4 linked regions of the Canis lupus familiaris genome follow. The protein of the gene in region 2 interacts with the protein of the main gene of each other region in a biochemical or structural test. Links are inferred from orthologs where the notes say so. Each region holds a gene or a part of one and is shown on either strand. Other genes may lie near its edges. The genes, in order: RBM15, SRPK2, LUC7L and PRPF38A.

The links.
Region 1: of the proteins of SRPK2 (region 2) and RBM15, one has a biochemical effect on the other in vitro, tested with the Homo sapiens proteins (2 studies listed by BioGRID and IntAct). The link is inferred for Canis lupus familiaris from reciprocal best matches to the Homo sapiens genes SRPK2 and RBM15.
Region 3: of the proteins of SRPK2 (region 2) and LUC7L, one has a biochemical effect on the other in vitro, tested with the Homo sapiens proteins (2 studies listed by BioGRID and IntAct). The link is inferred for Canis lupus familiaris from reciprocal best matches to the Homo sapiens genes SRPK2 and LUC7L.
Region 4: of the proteins of SRPK2 (region 2) and PRPF38A, one has a biochemical effect on the other in vitro, tested with the Homo sapiens proteins (2 studies listed by BioGRID and IntAct). The link is inferred for Canis lupus familiaris from reciprocal best matches to the Homo sapiens genes SRPK2 and PRPF38A.

The regions. Positions count from the first base shown.
Region 1 is NC_049227.1:42,107,227-42,112,580, reverse strand, and holds the start of RBM15 (RNA-binding protein 15), read left to right. Parts: upstream 1-1,709; 5' UTR 1,710-2,041; coding exon 2,042-4,904; intron 4,905-5,354. UniProt on the Homo sapiens protein: RNA-binding protein that acts as a key regulator of N6-methyladenosine (m6A) methylation of RNAs, thereby regulating different processes, such as hematopoietic cell homeostasis, alternative splicing of mRNAs and X chromosome inactivation mediated by Xist RNA.
Region 2 is NC_049239.1:15,286,436-15,291,605, reverse strand, and holds the start of SRPK2 (SRSF protein kinase 2), read right to left. Parts: upstream 3,294-5,170; 5' UTR 3,289-3,293; coding exon 3,193-3,288; intron 2,906-3,192; exon of another isoform or gene 2,891-2,905; coding exon of another isoform or gene 2,758-2,890; intron 2,405-2,757; exon of another isoform or gene 2,326-2,404; coding exon of another isoform or gene 2,310-2,325; intron 2,221-2,309; coding exon 2,166-2,220; intron 478-2,165; coding exon 418-477; intron 1-417. UniProt on the Homo sapiens protein: Serine/arginine-rich protein-specific kinase which specifically phosphorylates its substrates at serine residues located in regions rich in arginine/serine dipeptides, known as RS domains and is involved in the phosphorylation of SR splicing factors and the regulation of splicing.
Region 3 is NC_049227.1:40,768,129-40,772,815, reverse strand, and holds part of LUC7L (putative RNA-binding protein Luc7-like 1), read right to left. Parts: intron 2,768-4,687; coding exon 2,591-2,767; intron 1-2,590. UniProt on the Homo sapiens protein: May bind to RNA via its Arg/Ser-rich domain.
Region 4 is NC_049236.1:9,001,594-9,006,280, forward strand, and holds part of PRPF38A (pre-mRNA-splicing factor 38A), read right to left. Parts: intron 4,303-4,687; coding exon 4,143-4,302; intron 2,612-4,142; coding exon 2,490-2,611; intron 263-2,489; exon of another isoform or gene 1-262. UniProt on the Homo sapiens protein: Involved in pre-mRNA splicing as a component of the spliceosome.

The sequences.
Region 1 (5,354 bases), on a different chromosome or scaffold from region 2:
ATTCTTTTTTTTTTTTTTAAAGATTTTTAAAAAGTTATTTATTCATGAGAGACACAGAGAGGGAGGCAGAGACCCAGGCAGAGGGAGAAGCAGGCTCCACGCCGGAAGCCCCACGCGGGACTCGATCCCGGGCCCCGGGGTCACGCCCTGGGCCGAAGGGTAGTTAGTTGCTCAACCACTGAGCCCCCCAGGCGGCCCAGTATTCTATTTTTTTTAATTTTTATTTATTTATGATAGTCACAGAGAGAGAGAGAGAGAGAGAGGCAGAGACACAGGCAGAGGGAGAAGCAGGCTCCACGCACCGGGAGCCCGACGTGGGATTCGATCCCGGGTCTCCAGGATCGCGCCCTGGGCCAAAGGCAGGCGCCAAACCGCTGCGCCACCCAGGGATCCCCCAGTATTCTACTTTTTTATTTTTTTCTATAAAAGTAGTTTAAAGGAATCTAAAAATAATTGCTATTTTAAGAAAACGAGATGGTAATAACATACACGTGGTAAAACAAGTTTCCTTTTAATAGAAGAAATGCTAGAATGACATGCAATGACAAGCTGAGTCTCCCGCCAGACCGTCCAGCCCCGTCTCAGGGCGATCTTAGTGGCCACTCCCTAAGTACCGCCGTGAAGTTTCTATGGAAAAATCAACAAAAACACAGGCAGCGCCGCCGCCATGTCCCGTGGAGAACCCCCCGCGGCAGTACGTCCCACACCCTGGCCCACTCGCGGGCTTTGGCAGCTGGTCCTGGCACGCGGGGGAGCGTGCGCCCGCTGCCGCGACGTCCTCACACCAGGCTTCCTCCATCCGAGCAAGAAGCGAAATCCCTATCGCTTCCCTCGACGTCATGCGGGGAAGGGGGGCGAAGGCAGAGCCGGACTCTGCAGCCCCGGCCCTGACGCGGCTCCCAAGCTCGGGTTCGGGCAACAGCCGTGTCCCCCGAGAAGGGCCTCGGGGTAGGCGGGTAGGCGGCGGGGAGGGCCGGCCCGGGCTTCCTGGCCCCCCCTCCCCCCCTCCCCCGACGCCCGAGCACCTGCTCCGGCTGCCGGACTCACCTCACGACGGGCGGGCCCCGGGGGGTCGGCGAGGCGGCGCGAGGAGCCGCGGGGCGCACGCCCACGGCTGCACGCGGACGTCGGCCCTCGCCCGGTGACGGGGCGCGACGTAGGAAGAGCGAACCGACCGACGTCGCCGGGCGGCGGGGAGCGCCCAGGAGGCCGGCCCGGGCGAGCCCCACGGCCTGCGGCGCTCTCCGGCTGCCGCGGCCGGCCTCCTGGGGACCGCGCCCCGAGGGCTCGGTCCCCGCACAGGCCCCGAGCGGGCGGCCCAGGCACACCCACGGACGCCGCGGGACCCCATAAGTGCCCCGTAAATGCCCGTGGACGGAACGCCGCGAGCGGCCGGGGGCGGAGCCAGCGCCGTGTCAGCCTCTCGCGACGTCCCGGTGACGCCGCACGGCGAGCGCGCGGTCCGCTCTTTCACCTTCAGTCAGCCTCCTCCGTGTACGGCCTGCCCCTTTAAGCGGATGACGGACAGCTATTTCAGCCTATCAACTCCCTCGTCAGCATCCAATCAGATTTAAACTTCTTACAGCCGTCCGAGGAGTTGGAAGAAGAGGTCGAGAAAGGGAGCGCTTTCTGTCTCTCGCGAGAATGTTGTAAGCGGGCCTCTCAGGAAAAGCGCCAGAACAGATGGCCCGACTTCCCAAATAGTGAGTTAAAGGACGGGGTCGGAAACCAATGAAAGGAATGAGGAGGTGGGATCACCGCTTTTACCGCGCCAGAAGTACCGTTACAGGGCAGACTTTTCGCCCAATCAGCGCCTCCCGAGTTTGGGTCAGGTGACCCTACAGTGCGAGGGGCGGAGCTGCGGCCTGGCGCGAGGAGCCGTTAAGATGGACAACAAATACGACCAATGAGGTACTCGGACCCGGGCGTTGGGAGCCCAATAACAGCGGGCGGGCGGGCGCCTTTCCGGAGCGCGGGGAGATGTGAAGACGGACGGGACGTTTTCCCAATGAGCCTGTAGCAGAGAGGAGCCAGCTGACCAATGAGGGCCGCGGGGCGGGAGCCTCTGCCGCGGCGGAGTCCAAGATGGCGGCGTGCGGTTCCGCTGTGTGAAACGAGCGCGGGGCGGCGGGCTCAGCATCTCCGCGGAGACGACCTCCGGCGACCCGCAACAATGAAGGGGAAGGAGCGCTCTCCGGTCAAGCCCAAACGCTCCCGCGGTGGTGAGGACTCGACTTCCCGCGGGGAGCGGAGCAAGAAGTTAGGGGGCTCTGGTGGCAGCAATGGGAGTAGCAGCGGAAAGACCGACAGCGGCGGCGGGTCGCGGCGCAGCCTCCACCTGGACAAGTCCAGCAGCCGAGGCGGCAGCCGCGAGTATGACACCGGCGGGGGCAGCTCCAGTGGCCGCCTGCACAGTTACAGCTCCCCGAGCACCAAAAATTCCTCGGGCGGGGGCGAGTCGCGCAGCAGCTCCCGGGGTGGAGGCGGGGAGTCACGTTCCTCCGGGGCCGCCTCCTCAGCTCCCGGCGTTGGGGACGGCGCGGAGTACAAGACGCTGAAGATCAGCGAGTTGGGGTCCCAGCTGAGTGACGAGGCGGTGGAGGACGGACTGTTTCACGAGTTCAAGCGCTTCGGTGATGTAAGTGTCAAAATCAGTCATCTCTCGGGCTCTGGCAGCGGGGATGAGCGAGTAGCCTTTGTGAACTTCCGGCGGCCAGAGGACGCGCGGGCGGCCAAGCATGCCAGAGGCCGCCTGGTGCTCTATGACCGGCCGCTGAAGATCGAGGCGGTGTACGTGAGCCGCCGCCGCAGCCGCTCCCCCTTAGACAAGGATCCCTACCCGCCGTCGGCTGGCGTGGTGGGCGCCTCCGTGGGCGGACACCGGCACCCCCCTGGAGGCGGCGGCCAGAGATCGCTTTCCCCTGGTGGCGCGGCCCTGGGGTACCGAGACTACCGGTTGCAGCAGCTGGCTCTTGGCCGCCTGCCCCCCCCGCCTCCGCCACCGTTGCCCCGTGAGCTGGAGAGAGAGCGAGACTATCCGTTCTATGAGAGAGTGCGCCCGGCGTACAGCCTGGAGCCCAGGGTGGGAGCTGGAGCAGGTGCTGCTCCTTTCCGAGAAGTGGATGAGATCTCACCCGAGGACGATCAGCGAGCTAACCGGACGCTTTTCTTGGGCAACCTAGACATCACTGTGACAGAGAGTGACCTAAGAAGGGCTTTTGACCGCTTTGGAGTCATCACAGAGGTAGATATCAAGAGGCCCTCTCGGGGCCAGACCAGTACCTATGGCTTCCTTAAATTTGAGAACCTAGACATGTCTCACCGGGCCAAACTAGCAATGTCTGGCAAGATCATTATTCGGAATCCTATCAAAATTGGTTATGGTAAAGCTACACCCACCACTCGCCTCTGGGTAGGTGGTCTGGGACCTTGGGTGCCTCTTGCTGCCCTGGCACGAGAGTTTGACCGATTTGGCACCATCCGCACTATAGACTACCGCAAAGGTGATAGTTGGGCATATATCCAGTATGAAAGCCTGGATGCAGCTCATGCTGCCTGGACCCATATGCGTGGCTTCCCACTTGGTGGCCCAGATCGTCGCCTTAGAGTAGACTTTGCAGATACAGAACATCGTTACCAGCAGCAGTATCTGCAGCCTTTGCCCTTAACTCATTACGAGTTGGTGACAGATGCTTTTGGACATCGGGCACCTGACCCTTTGAGGGGTGCTCGGGATAGGACACCACCCTTACTCTACAGAGATCGTGACAGAGACCTTTATCCTGACTCTGACTGGGTGCCACCCCCGCCCCCAGTTCGTGAACGCAGCACTAGGACTGCAGCTGCTGCTGTGCCTGCTTACGAGCCCCTGGATAGCCTGGATCGCAGGCGAGATGGCTGGTCCTTGGACCGGGACAGAGGTGAGCGAGATCTGCCCAGCAGCAGAGACCAGCCTAGGAAGCGAAGGCCGCCCGAGGAGAGTGGGGGCCGGCACCTGGATAGGTCCCCTGAGAGTGACCGTCCCCGAAAACGTCACTGTGCTCCTTCTCCCGACCGCAGCCCGGAATTGAGCAGTAGCCGGGATCGCTACAACAGTGACAATGATCGATCTTCTCGTCTTCTTATCTTGGAAAGGCCCTCTCCAGTCAGAGACAGGCGAGGAAGTTTGGAGAAGAGCCAGGGTGACAAGCGAGACCGTAAAAACTCTGCATCAGCTGAACGGGATAGAAAGCACCGGACAACTGCTCCCACTGAGGGAAAAAGCCCTCTGAAAAAAGAAGACCGGTCTGATGGGAGTGCGCCTAGCACCAGCACTGCTTCCTCAAAGCTGAAGTCCCCTTCCCAGAAACAGGATGGTGGGACAGCCCCCACCACTGCAGCCTCTCCCAAGCTCTGTTTGGCCTGGCAGGGCATGCTTCTATTGAAGAACAGCAACTTTCCTTCCAACATGCATCTGTTGCAGGGTGACCTCCAAGTGGCTAGTAGTCTTCTTGTGGAGGGCTCAACTGGAGGCAAAGTAGCCCAGCTCAAGATCACTCAGCGTCTTCGTTTGGACCAGCCCAAGTTGGATGAAGTAACTCGACGCATCAAAGTGGCAGGTCCCAATGGTTATGCCATTCTCCTGGCTGTGCCTGGAAGTTCTGACAGCAGGTCCTCCTCTTCCTCAGCCACATCAGACACTGCCACCTCTACTCAGAGGCCACTTAGGAACCTTGTGTCCTATTTAAAGCAAAAGCAGGCCGCTGGGGTGATAAGCCTTCCCGTGGGGGGCAACAAAGACAAGGAAAACACCGGGGTCCTACATGCTTTCCCACCCTGTGAGTTCTCCCAGCAGTTCCTGGATTCCCCTGCCAAGGCACTGGCCAAATCTGAAGAAGATTACCTGGTCATGATCATTGTCCGTGGTGCGTCCTAAAGTCCATGTATAACTTGTATTTACTACTTTGACATGGTTCCTGTTTTGTGATGTGTAATGGGATACAGCATCAGATGAAATTTTCTTTTGAGTTAGTTTGTTTAGTTGAAGCTTTTTTTCTTTTTTTTATATTTTTATAAACCTTTGAAATAGAAGACAGGACAGTTTAGCTATTAAGTGAAAGGGATGCCCTGAAGGTAGCAGGCAGATGGATTTATTTTAATTAGGAGTTCCTACTCTTAGTAACTTCTTTTCCCCTTCTTTTTCTTGTTGTGTTTTTTTTCCCCCCCCTTAACCTTGAGCTTAAAAAAAATCCTCAGAGTTACAAACCCAAAATTTTGAAAAGTCAGGATTCGGAGAAAAGCCCACTGACTATATAAAGAAGATAATATACATCTAAAAAGGGCTTGATTGGTATGTAGGTAAATAATTCTTGTAC
Region 2 (5,170 bases):
TAATTTGGTCCCTATCCCTTAGCACTACCTGAAGTTGCCATCCTGATTTGTCATCTTCCTAGGTGGTCCCCCTAATATCCACAGAATATAACCTTCATGAGGAGCTTTGACTTTCTTGTTCAAAGCTCCATCACCAACTCCAAGAAAAGGCACGCAAATACTTGTTGAATATGTGAATAAATCATATCAAGCATTCCTTTAAAATAGTGTCTTAATTCAAAGAATTAAGCAAAAAATGGCACCCCATTAATCTGTTATATAATTGGGCTGGTCTCTTGTTAATTACCTTGCAAACCATTCAAGTCACTCTGCCACTGCCTGGGGGGCTTTTCCCTCAAATCTTACCACATAGGTACAGTTATCTCTGAGAGCAAAAACTGGATATTGTGGATATACGCTAATTCTTTATAAACATACCACATAAATCCAAACTGCAGCAGACCAAAAAAGGCTCTTGGCCATTAGGATAGTCATTCCCTGAAACATGAAAATATGAAATACGTGTTGACTTAGTTAACTAAAACTGCTTTTCTACACGCATGCCCACATACAACATACACATTACATACGTGTATACACACACATAGCCATTCCCAAAACCGAGGACGCGCTTTTTTTCCAATTCCCTTTTACATTTCTAAACATAATGCAATATGTGAAAATAAATGCTTTGTATTTAAGGTTGTTTTTAAAACCCAATACTCAGGATCCTAAACGTTACAGTTCTTCCTTACTCGCGGGCTTCATCTTCCGACATTCAAAGGAAATCCCAAATTTAAGGCCCTGACTTGAAAGCTGGCCAAGTCATTTTGTAAAGCATCTCCAACTACCGCGTCCATCCCGTTTTCACCTTTTAAGAATCCAGTATCAGATTTTTTTTTTTTACCCACCAGTTCCTCAATTCCTTCATAAGTATGTTTCCGTCACTCTAATATAATCTTTTTTTTTTTTTTTTTTGTCTTCCAAGAAAAGGCATTAACTATAGCGAGATGCCCATTTTGGAAAACCCTGAAAATGCTTTACAAGCCCTATCCCATCTCGAGTGAACAGAAAAATTGTCATGATAGCAGCACCGCGCTGGTGAGGCCTCAGGGCAGTGTTCAGGGAGGGCAGGAAATTCTGCAGGCAAGAGACCAAGGCGCCGAGGAGGGGGAAGCCCAGGAACGCCGCAGGGCGATCCCCCGAGACCCGGTCCTGAGGATGATCACGGGCCGCCGTTCCCTACAAGACCCCCAATGCCACGGAGTGTGTCTCGCTCCACAGGAAGGGAGAAGCCACGCATCCAGGAGCGAAAGACGCCGAAAGCCAGGGGCGGGGGCGCTGCGCGGTCTCCGAGCGGCTCTCCAGGAAAGGCTCCCCCTCGGGTCCGCGCGGACTGGGGGGCGGGGCGGGGCGGGGCGGGGCGGGGCGGGGGCTGGCACGGCTCCAGCAGGACCCCCTCCCGCCAGCTCCCGGGGCGGCGGGGGCGCAGCGCGGCTCGGCCCGAGCGCAAAGTTTCGACTGGAGACCCGGCGGGCGCCGGCGCGCTCAGGTCTCGGAGCTGGGCTGGCGCCAGGCACCCCCGGGCCGGCCGCTGGACACCCGGCTCCGGCTTTCCGCAAAGAGGCCGGGAGGCGGGGAGCCGGGGGGGAAGAGGAGGCCGGCCCCACGCGCGCGCACACACGCGCGGAGCCCACGGAGCACGCGGAGCCCACGGAGCACGCGGAGGACGCGGAGCCCACGGAGCACGCGGAGCACGCGGAGCGCGCGGAGGACGCGGAGGACGCGGAGCCCACGGCTCCCGGGCGCCGGTGCCCAGGTGCGAGCCGAGCAGCAGCCTCACGCCCGCACGCGGCGCGGCGGGGCGGGGACGCCAGCGACCCCGGCGGGCGGCGCGCAGGGAGGGGCGGCCGCCGGGGGAGCGGGAGCGGGTCCGGGGTCCGAGGGTCCAGGGTGCTCGGCCGGGCACCGCGGGCCCGCACGCGCCCTCCCCCGCCCGCCCGCCCGCCCCTCCCCCCGGGCCGCCCGCCGGGGCGCAGAGGCGAGCGCCCGCGTCCCCGGGGGGTGGGGGGGGGACGAGCCCGCCGACCCCGGGATCCCGCAACTTTCCCCTGCGCGGCCGCGGGCTGCCCTGCCCGGGCGGGGGCGGGGGGGCGGGGGCCCGGGGGCGCGGGGCACGGACTCACTTTTTCGGATGTTTCTCTCTTTTCGGCCTCCGCTTTCGGGCCTGAATGGCCAGCACTGGGGAAAGAGAAGACACCCATTAACGGTCGGGCCGGCGGCCGGAGGGGCCGCGCGGCGGGGAGGAGGGCTCGCCGCGGGCCACTCACCTTTCCGGGAGCTCATCCCGACGCGGCCGAGCGGGGGCGGGGGGCTCGGCGGCGGCGGCGGCGGCGGCGACGCGGGAGCCGAGCCGGGCCGGGCTGCAGCCTCCTCCACTCGCTCCGCCAGCCGGGAGGAGGCGGCCACCGCGCCTGCGCCGCCGCCGCCGCCGCCGCCGCTGCCGCTGCTCCCCGCGGGGGGCCGCCGAGACCCGCCCCGCCGGCCCCGCCCCCCGCCCCGCCCCGCCCCCGCCGGCCCCGCCCCGCCCCCCGCCCCCCGCCCACCTGCCCCGGCCGCGCAGCCTGCGGCCCGGCCTCCGCCCCCCGCGCCCCGGCCCCGGCCCCGGCCCCCGGCCCCGCCCCTCGGCCGCCCGGCCCCCGCCCCCCGCCCCCCGCCCCCCGCGTCCGGGGCCCCCCGCCCCCGCGGCCGCGGCCGCCCGGCCTCCGCCCCACGCACCGCGGCCCGGGCCCCCCGCCTCTCCGCGCTCCCCGCGCGCCCCTCCTCGGCCGGCGCCCCCGCGGGTCTCGCACCACCGCTCTTCGCGCGGCCTCTTCGCCCCCTTTGCTCCCCGACATCCCTGCATCCCCATGAGCGCCGCCCGCTCCCCTCTGGCGGCTGTGGAAAGGGCACAGGGCCGGGAGCGGGGACACCTGGGACCCGCACGAGCGTGTGACCTTGGGGAAGTCCTCTCCTCCTTCCGCCTCACCTAACCCCACTGCGGGCTTGGAGCGTAATGAGGGAAAAGATGCAAACGGCATGGAAAGCGTGATGAAGTCGTTGTTTTGTTTTGTTGGGTTCTTTGCACCTGAATTAAAGCCCAGCTCGCCAAACACCAAGCGTCTGACGATTTAACACAACAATCGCACCAAGCAGTTGTTGCCTACGTCTTACAGCGAGGAGGCGACGACGTCCAAAGTAGTTGAACAGTTTGCGGAGGGACCGTGCAAGTTCAGGCCTAGCTGACTCCAAAGCCTTTCCATGGATCATGCCGCCTGATAAAGATGGGAATCAAGCTGATAGTGGGTCCGAATGACAACTGCACTCTCTTCCTTTGTTTGTTTAAGTAATTACAGTGTCTTGGAAAGATATCCGCCCCACCGCGGACTCTCTCTGGTTCTACGACTGTGTTCTTAGCTGACCAAAGTAACTAGTCTGATCCTAAAGATGCTAAAACCAAAGAACTGAAAGCGCTGCTCAGACTTGATGGAACTTTTACTTTCTCAACATGTTTTTTTTAAGTTTTTATTTTAATCACCCAGAGGGAGTGGACTCTTTAATCCCCGGCACCTACTTCAGCCATCCCCACCCACTTCCCCTCTGGTAACCATCAGTTTGTTCTCTCTAGTTAAGTACTTTCTCAACTTTTTATTTTCAAAAAGATCTACCCTACAGAGAAGTTACGAGAAAAATATAATGAACACCCGTATTAACCCATATGCACCGATTTTTAACATTTCATCACATTTGCTTTCCTTGTGTGTATGTGTGCCTATGGAAGTTCCTTTGTTTCGTTTTTGCTGAATTATTGAAGTTTTTGCATCGTTACTCTTTACCCTTAACATGTCAATAAGTACCAAGAACAAGGATATTCTACGCAATCAGAATTCCATTATCATACCAAGAAAATTTAATATTAATACAGAGGCCATATTCACATTTTCAAAATGTCCCTTGTAGCTGACTTTTTTCCTATCCAGGATACAATCAAGAATCGTCCATTACATTTAATTGCCATGTCTTTTTTACACTCCTTTAGTCTAGAATAATCCCTGGTTGTTGTTGGGTTTTTTTTTTTTTTCTCTCTCTTTTATAACATTGACTTCTTTTGAGGAATCCAATTCACTGTTCTGCAGGATGTTCCTCAGTTTGTAGTCATCTGTTCCCTGTTAAAGTCAAGTTAAATAATTTTGGCAAGTACGCTATATGGATGATATTGTGTCCATCTCAGTATGTTGCAACAGAAAGGAAATGATGTCAGTTTGTTTCATTATTCGTGATGTTACATTTAATCATTTTTCTATAGTAAGGCCAGCTTTTATTCTTTTCTACTTAAAAAAGTGGTCTATGTTCAAAACGAGTAAAGGACTTGAATACACGTTTCTCCAAAGATATACAAATAGCCAACAAGTACATGAAAGATGCTCAATTTCCTTAGACAAATGCAAAGCAAAACCACAATGAGACACCCCTTTGCACCTACTAGGATGACTATGTTTTTTTAATAGAAAATAAAGGTTGCCTTGATCACCCAGTTGGTTAAGCGGTTAAGTGTCAGACTCTTGGTTTTGGCTTAGATCATGAACTCATGGGTTCTGAGATCAAGCCGGATGTCAAGCCCCATGTTGAGTCCCACAGGCTCAGCGTTCAGTGGGGATCCTACTTGAGACTCTCTGTCCCCTCCCCCACTCACTCTCACCCTTTCAAATAAATACATCTTTAAAAACAAATAGATAAAAAAATAATAATAAAAATGAAAAAAAACAAATAAATCAATGGAAAATAAGTCTTGTTAAGGATATTGAGATATTGGAATCCTTGTACATTGCTGGTGGGAATGTAAAATGGCGCAATCACTGTCAAAAACAGCCTCACAGTTCCTCAAAAAACAAAAAAGAATTATCAACAATTCCACCCCTCGGTATATATCCAAAACCATTGCAAACAGGTACTCAAATCTTTGTGCACAAATGCACATGGCAGTAATAATCACAGGAGCCAAAATGTTAGAAACAACTCAAGTATCCATCAACACATGAATAGACAAATTGCAGTATACACACACCATGAAATATTTTTCAGCCCATAAAAAGAGTGAAGAAGAAAAAGAAGAATGATACATGCTACAACATGGATAAACCTCAAAACATTA
Region 3 (4,687 bases), on a different chromosome or scaffold from region 2:
GCATGAGCCTGGGGTCCTGGGATCGAGTCCCACGTCGGGCTCCCTGCATGGAGCCTGTTTCTTCCTCTGCCTGTGTCTCTGTCTCTCTCTCTCTCTCTCTGTGCCTCTCATGAATAAATAAATAATCTTTTTTTAAATAAATAAATAATCCTAAAAAAAAAAAAAAGATGGGGAGTTTCAGCCCCTCAACTTCCACACACATTCCTAAAGAAGATGTGACCAAGCACAGGGCTATGGTCTGGCATTAAGACCTTTACAAACCTCCCTACTTCCAAGACACTGTCCTTCCACCAGTAACAAAAAAGGCCTTGCCTCACTATTACCTGGGCATGTGGCCTGGAGGTTTGAGTACCTCTGGGACCACTGTAAGTGAAGCCATCTCAGATTAGGGCCCAGAACACTCCTGCTTCTTACTGTTTAGAGGTGCACTTCCTGACACATTTTTTGTTCTTAGTGTAACAGCTATAATCAAAATCTATTAATATATTTGTGTTGTTCTGGTCAACTTTGAACAAGTTGTAACTGCAATGACAAAACACGCTTTCTAGATCTAGTTAATACTTAAGACCTTAAGGGGATGCCTGGCGGGCTCAGCTGCTCTCGATCTCAGGGTTTAAGTTTCAACCCCAGGTTGCATACAGAGATTACTTAAAAATAAAATCTTTAAAAAACAAAAACTTAAGTTTTTAAGGCTTCAGGGGAAAAATTTCAATGTAGTTTCATCTCTGTTGGAGAAGTATGTCTTAAGAAAGAAGTAAAAGGGGAACCCTGGGTGGCGCAGCGGTTTGGCGCCTGCCTTTGGCCCAGGGTGTGATCCTGGAGACCCGGGATCGAATCCCACGTCGGGCTCCCAGTGCATGGAGCCTGCTTCTCCCTCTGCCTGTGTCTCTGCCTCTCTCTCTCTGTGTGTGTGACTATCATAAATTTAAAAAAAAAGGGAGCCCTGGGTGTTGCAGCGGTTTGGCGCCTGCCTTTGGCCCCGGGCGCGATCCTGGAGACCCGGGATCGAATCCCACGTCGGGCTCCCGGTGCATGGAGCCTGCTTCTCCCTCTGCCTGTGTCTCTGCCTCTCTCTCTCTCTCTCTGTGTGACTATCATAAATAAATAAAAATTAAAAAAAAAAAAAAAGAAAGAAAGAAGTAAAAGGTTTTCATGTATAAAAAAGTATCAGGAGAAAATTATGGGGTGATATGAAATGGAAATACAGTTTAAAGGAGAAATGGAAGGGGCAGCTCGGTGGTTCAGTCCATTAAGTGTCTGACTCCGGCTCAGGTCATGATTTCAGGGTCCTGAGATCGAGCTCCACATCAAGCTCCCTGCTCAGTGGGAATCTGCTTCTCCCTCTCCCTGGGATTCTTTTTGTGATTCTTTCCCCCTCTGCCCTTCCCTTCTGCATTCTCTCTCTCTCTCTTACTCTCTCTCTCTCTCATACACACACACACACACATACACACACAGTCAAAAAAATAATTTAAAAAAAAGTAGGGATCCCTGGGTGGCTCAGTGGTTCAGCGCCTGCCTTTGGCCCAGGGCATGATCCTGGAGACCCGGGATTGAGTCCCGCGTCAGGTTCCCAGCTTGGAGCCTGCTTGTGTCTCTGCCTTTCTCTATCATGAATAAATAAATAAAATCTTAAAAAAAAAAAAAAAAAAGGTAACAAAGTATCACTTTTCAATATTCTATAGGGAGTACAGGAGCAAAATGTGATTTTCAGTCCAGTGGCTGTCCCCCCAACTCCAGTCCCTGTGCCAGACTCACACCTCACCTACTGGCAACCCCTCAAGTGCAGGGCTCTGTCCCCTGCTCCCTCTAGGGGCACACAAGGCTCTCTGCCTTGACTGTCAGTGTCCCAGTCATGTGCCATGTGTCTGTCTTTCCATCAAATGTCATGTGTCTGGAGGGAAGGGCTGCACAGTTCCCAGTGCAACATCCTAGTGGTCCCTGTAGGCAGCAGGGAAGATTCCACCAGTCTGAAAAGTAATCCAAACTATCTGAAACATATGTTCACCCTTCCTTCTTAGTGTTCTGTATCCAAGGTAAGTTTTACAGTCTAACCCAGGAAAAAAAGGAGCCTTGAGGAAGAAATAAAGGTAGGCAGGGGTGGAGCAGCACTATCCTAAAAGCCCCACCACATTCTCAACCTCCCGAGGAGGCTCAAAGGCAAGGGCCAGAAGTGTGATCTTTGTCCAGCCTAACCACTCTCCACACGTCCGCCCCTGCCCAACCCTCATCTCTGTCTAACCTAACCACACATCCACCTTTGCCTAAGGATAAAAATGAGACTACTGGCTCTTCCCATCTTCAAATACAAGTTATTTCAGAGCTGTGCAAAAGCTCTCTATACCAGAAGACTGGATTCTGCGTTTTTTCCTGCACAAGAAGTACAGACTAAACAAATATCCAAGGTCCTTTTGGATTAAGACCTTAGTTCTCTTGTGTGAATGAAGTGATGAAATCTGAATATTTCACTCTAAAACTCAAGGCACATTCTTAGAAAAGATCAAAACATGAGTTTTTCTAAAAGTCAAGAAATATGGAGACAATCACAAGACTTCTTGGGTTTCTCCAGAAACACAATACATCAACGTACCCTCAACTGATCAAGCTTCTCTCGGATCTGAATGAACCCCAAGTGTAACTTGCCCCCGAAGTGGTCTGCAAGACGACGGTCATTGTCATGGAGCCCAAGGTAGGCTGAACAGACCTCACAGACACGCAGCTTCTGCTGTTGGAAACTGGATGCAGGCATGGAATTTCTGTATTCTTCCTGGACAACGAGAACAGAGTAATCAAAGTGAGGTACACAGAACTGCAAGCAAATATTCAACCCCCAAAATGGAAATATTGGAAAGGACTACAGAGGTGACTTTTAAATAACAGAAATCGAATCATTTACAAGCTTTAGATATTTTTAACTGATTCAATTTCCATCATTTATTTATGAAATGAACTAAGAATCATGATTTCAAAGCAATAAGGAACATTCAAAAACTCTCAGACAAGCAGGATGCAGTGTTCTCAGAGGCCAGCAGGAATGGCAGGTCTCAGTTATGTGCAGTGGAGAGCGCTAGGAGGACCACAGAATCAAGAAGGGAGACTCTTCAAAGGGGGCCTTCATAAAACAAACACAAAAACCAAACCAAACAAGCAACATACAAAAGCTCCTCATCGAAGACTACGTCCCAAAGTCCAGAAATGCTGCCCTAAAAGCTAAAATACTAATGGACAAAGAAGTTAGACACTCTCTTCAATAAAGAACATGTCCAACAGAGCAGACCAAAATGCACCCCCTCTGGCAGCCACTCGTCAGAACAGATAAAATGAAGAACAAACGAAGCAGGACATGGCTCCTGGTGCTGGTGCCAAAGTCAGAGCATGCCTTCAAAACCCAGGTTTTGGGGATGCCAGGGTGGCTCAGAGGTTTGGCCCTTGCCTTGGGCTCAGGGCGTGGTCCTGGGGTCCCGAGATCGAGTCCTACATCGGGCTCCCTGCATGGAGCCTACTTCTCGGTCTCTCATGAATTAAAAAACAAAAACACATGAATTAAAACACAAAACCAAAAACAAACAAAAAAACACTCCACCAAAACCCAGGTTTTAAGAAATGCATTCCAACAGCTACTGATTTTTTTTTTTTTAAAGATTCTATCCATTTGTTCATGAGAGACACAGAAAAAGAGAAACAGGCAGAGACACAGGCAGAAGGAGAAGCAGGCCCCACACAGGAAGCTTGATGCGGAACTCAATCCCGGAACTCCGGGATCATGCCCTGAGCCACAGGCAAGTGTTCAACCGCCAAGCCACACAGGTGTCCCTAAATAATCAAATTTTCTACTCAACTGCATTCTAATGAACTCTCATCAGGTTTTTTTTTTTTTTTTAAGATTTTATTTATTTATTCCTGAGACACAGAGAGAAACAGAGACACAGGCAGAGGGAGAAGCAGGCTTCCTGTGGGGAGTCTGACATGGGACTCAATCCCGGGACTCCAGGTTCACGACCTGGGCTAAAGGCCAGGTGCTAAACCTCTGAGCCACCCAGGGATCCCCCACAGCCACTGATTCTTTTCTTTTTTTTTTTTTTTTAATTTATGATAGGCACACAGTGAGAGAGAGAGAGGCAGAGACACAGGCAGAGGGAGAAGCAGGCTCCATGCACCGGGAGCCCGACGTGGGATTCGATCCCGGGTCTCCAGGATCGCGCCCTGGGCCAAAGGCAGGCGCTAAACCGCTGCGCCACCCAGGGATCTCACAGCCACTGATTCTTAAAGGGATCTTCCATTAGTTTATATGTTCAAACTTCCCTGGCAAATGCAGATTACAATGGGACACAATGTCACTCACTAAACTGGCAAAGTCAAAAAATAAGGTACTCTCATACCTTGCTGGTAGGCAATGATGTTGGGGCAACTAACAGAATGCAACTGAATTAGCTGCGAAAGCAAGACAGGTGCAAGCCATTACCAGGAACCCTTCTGGGCATATGTCCTAGAACATGCTCATACGTGTGCCAACAAACAAGTGCAAGGATACTTGCTGTGAACTGTCTTTGAAGATAAGAAACCAGAAAACTGCCAATGGACAGTCACATGTTCATGAAACGGAACCCTACAGCAATAAACTGAAGGAAGTTGTATGGAGCAACAGGCAGAGACCTCACAAACAGTGCTGAGAATAATGAGAGAGAAA
Region 4 (4,687 bases), on a different chromosome or scaffold from region 2:
TGCAGCCTCCCTTCCCTACACATTTACTAATAAAACCACTCAGTGTGGTTACAGAGAAGGGATTACTAATCAGACCTGGGGTCAAACTACAGTCATTCATAGCCTTGTCATCACTTACCTCATTCATTCAGCTCACCTTTACTGAGGCCATCTGTATCAGGCCTCTTCTTGGAGCTGAGGATAAAGAGATGAATGAAGCTGTCCCAATTAGCAGGAGACCCAACACAAAAGCATGCACAAACAGATCTAAGTGGTATAGGGGTGATTTTTTTTTTTTAAGATTTTATTTAAGAGAGCGAGAGTACAGCAGGGGGGAGAGGTAGAGGGACAAGCAAATTCCCCACTGAGCAGGGAGCCCGATGTAGGACTCAATTACAGAATCCTGGGATCATGACCAGAGCCAAAAGCAGATGTTTAATTGACTGAGCCATCCAAGTGCCCAGGAGTGATGTTATTTATAAAAAAGTTTTATTTTTTTATTTTTTTATTTTTTTTGAGAGAAAGAGAGACAGGGAGAGCAAGAGCAGGGAGGAGAGGGAGGAGCAGGCTCCCACGGAGCAGGGAACCTGACACGGGGCTTACTCCCAGGACCCCTGGGATCATGACCTGAGCTGAAGGCAGATGCTTAACCAACCAAGCCACCCACGGTGATGTTCTTGAATAGATTATATAACTCAAGTACAATTTCTCATGTGAACCCGCTATATTTCTAAATATACAGCATGTATCTTATATGGTAAAGCAAAAGCTTTTTAGAATTGTTATAGTAAACATTACCTTAGTTCAGTGGTTCTCAAGCAGCAGTTAACTTTGTCACCCACAACTAGTGGATAGAGGCCAGGGATATGGCTAAACATCCTACAATGGGCTGGACAGCTCCGCATAACAAAGAATCATCTGGATCAAATTGTCAATAGGTTGAGTAACCCCATCTTAGTTTTTAACATAATATAAACATAAGTAATTCCATGACGGCCATAACCATGTCCATCTTGTTCACCATGTTATTTTCAGTATGTAGCACAGTACCTGGCATGATACTGGCACTTAATTATGTATTCAATAAACAAGGTAATAAGTTAATAAAAGTTTAAAGTAAAATAACAAATTCTTGGCTTTCTATTTCTTAATGTTACATGTAGAGGTAAAAAGCAAATTCTAGTTAGACACTAAGAAGAAAAAGGTTTTGACTGCATTACCCTGAATCTGCCTTTTCCACAAAAAATATCTTTGTAAAATGTATGGAGCTGCCCACTGTGGGATTCCTATGTAAGTCTGAGTACACTTAACTTATACTGCAGTGGGAAGTACAGTGCTAGAGAAGAAGGAACGCCTGGGTGGCTCAGCGGTTGGGCATCTGCTTTTGGCTCAGGGCATGGTCCTGGAGTCCCGGGATCGAGTCCTGCATCGGGCTCCCTGCATGGAGCCTGCTTCTCCCTCTGTCTCTGCCTCTCTCTGTCTCTCATGAATCAATGAATAAAGTCTTGGGGAAAAAAAAAAAAGAGGCCACTAAAAATTACTGTGATGATGGGGCACTGGGGTGGCTCAGTTAAGTGTGTGCCTTTGGCTCAGGTCATGATCCCAAAGTCCTGGGACTGAGCCCTATGTTGGGCTCAATGTTCAGCGAGAAATCTGCTTCTCCCTCTCCTCCTCCATCCTGCTCCTGTTCTCTCTCTCTCTCAAATAAGTAAAATCTTAAAAAAAAAAAAAAAAAAAGGGCAGCCCAGGTGGCTTAGTGGTTTAGCGCCACCATCAGCCCGGGGCGTGATCCTGGAGACCGGGATCGAGTCCCATGTCGAGTTCTCTGCTTGGAGCCTACTTCTCCCTCTGCCTGTGTCTCTGCCCCTCTCTCTCTCTGTGTCTCTTATGAATAAATAAATAGAATATTAAAAAAAATAATAACCGTGATGATGTAACACATGGAAAACTAACTTTGGGAGGTCTGAGTAAGGCTTTTACGAGGTCATTCTGGAGGCAGATCAGATGGGATGGAGTACATTGGAAAAAGTACATGATGCAAGACTGAGACTGATATAAGATGTAGTTGGAAAAGTAGGCAGACAAGGGCAGATTGGGCAAGACTAACAGGAAGCTAGGAGTCTAATGGAATACTCCATGCAGGAGGTGAAGAACCTGAAATGAAGACCGTAACAACAACGATGATGGGCATTCACAATGTTACAACAAGAAGGCAGAAATATGGGGACCCCTGGGTGGCTCAGTGGCTGAGCGCCTGCCTTCGGCCCAGGGCGTAATCCTGGAGTGCCAGGATCGAGTGCCAGGATTGAGTCCCGGGATCGAGTCCCACATCAGGCTCCCTGCATGGAGCTTGCTTCTCCCTCTGCCTGTGTCTCTGCCTCTCTATCTCTCTCTGTCTCTCATGAATAAATAAATAAAATCTTAAAAAAAAAAAAAAAAAGCAGCAGAAATATTGGTGAAATAAAAACTGGTTCAGGGAGGAAGGTCCAGACCCTTAGCACCATACTCACCCCCATTTCGGTTCTGGCTCTTGATTTTTCGATAGTCATTGTACAGAGGTTCTAAGTACTTGTAGCAATCAATTGCAGTGCCTGTCAGCCTCATGTAAAGTGCTCCCAACATGCGGACATACCTGACAGAAGAAGACAAACAGTAGGCCATCCTAAAAAGTTCTTGTTCTTGAGTTGCATACCTGGCTTTTCTCATGAAAGCAGTGGATGAACAAGTTCTTTCTCTTCTTTGGCGATGAGAGAACTGCAATTTTGAGGCAACATGGAGCAGAAAGAAAGCTAAAATATGGAAACCTGGGTTCAAGTTCCCATTCTACCACTTACTGGCTGCAGGAACTTGGGACATGTTGCTCAACTTTCAGAGTCTATCATATTTAGAGTCTATTTAGAGTCTATATATGACAGGAAAATAGGAACCAATTTACCTTAAAGGATTACTCTAAGAATCAAATGAGATACTGAATTTAACAACATATAAAATATGTTTACTAATAGTACAAGAAATAATATACATACACTTGAATATATATATAATTGTTGCTAGGCAGCACAGAGTGCTAGTTCTGGAAAAAAGTCATCTGCGTTGCAATTTGGATTCCATTACTTATTGACTTTGTTATATTAGGCAAGTTACTTGCTTTCTCAATTCTTGTAAAATGGAGATGATTGTGCCTAATTTGTTGGCTTAGTAAGAAATGTGTGTAAAGTGCTAAGCGTAGCATATAGCACATAGTAAGAAAGCTATTTTCTAGCTGTTACTGTTTTGTAAGATTCCTTTTTCTTTTCTCCTATATCCAACTACCCACTCAAATTCTTCACTTGGAATAACGAGTAGGCATTTGAAACTCAACAGTTTCTTTATATGACAAACACAACAGAATAGTAAAGAATTTGAACACTGAAGCCAGCTTTACCACTTACTAGGTATCTGACCTCAAGGAAATTAATCTGTCCTAAGTTTCCTACCTTGTGTAACGGAGATAATAATTTTGCAGGGTTGTTGTGAAGGTTAAGTAAATGATTATATGTAAATCCCTTAGAGGATGGTACAAAATTAGCTACTATGTTTGTCTCTTATATTTGTCTGTGAGTTCCTTGAGAATAAGTAATACAAGAATATGAGCAGCTGACATTTTGGGAGTCTTTACCAAAAGGCACTGTGTTGTGAGATATACAGCACTATCTTCTTTAACCCTCCTATCAACCTTGAGCTGGTATCATCATCTCCATTTACAAGTAAAGAAAGTAAAGCTCACAAACTTCTCTAAGGTCATAATAAGTAACAGAGCCTGGACATGAACCTCCCTCCACCTACACCAAAGTTCTCCTGCTTATCTACCACATGATGTAGTTTTCTTCATCTTTGAGCATCCAGTGCTATGAACACACTAAGTGCTCACTCCTGCTTAATATATTTTCAGTCCATTTGTGAAATGCTTTCTGGGGGAGAGGAGCAGTTACCAGGACTGAGAATGTAAAGAAGATCAATACAATCAGAACAGACAAAATACACACTGGAGACCTCAGGAGCCAAAATCCTAGAGTAGAACTCTGTTGAAACAAGATACACTGCTTTCACTCCTCTTAACCGAAGCCAAATTCTGGCCCACTGAAATTGAAGCTTTTAAATTAGCTAGTCAACATTTCACTCACTTGAAATCTTCATTTTTTATAAACTCCACAATGATATCCTTCTCAGGTTGGATTTGAAGCATCTTCAAGGTCAAACACAGAAAAGGAGTTGGCTTTATGTTGCCACCATAGACACCGCCCACAAACCTCAACTCCATGGCTTTATCCACTACAAGTTCAGCTAAAAAAAAAAAAAAAAACAAAGGCAAAAACAAAAACAAAGTGGCATCTCAGATAATTTAGGGCCAAGCTCTTCCCAGTCTGAAATGGAGATAAGTTAGTTCAAGGTTTGGTGCTCCTCAATACTAATCAACAATTTAATATTAGAAGTGTGTGTATTAATAGTAATAATAATAACAGCAGCCAATATACAAGAAAGGATGACTATATGCCACGTATTCTCCTAAGCATGTCATATTATCTCATTTAATCTTCACAACAAGCCATGAAATTCCTGCACAGAGGCTGTTTTCAGATAAGGAAAATGAAGGCTAAGAAATGTTAAGTGACTTGCTCAATGTCCACCACCGGAGAGTAGCAGGGCCTGGATTTACATGTAAGCAGTC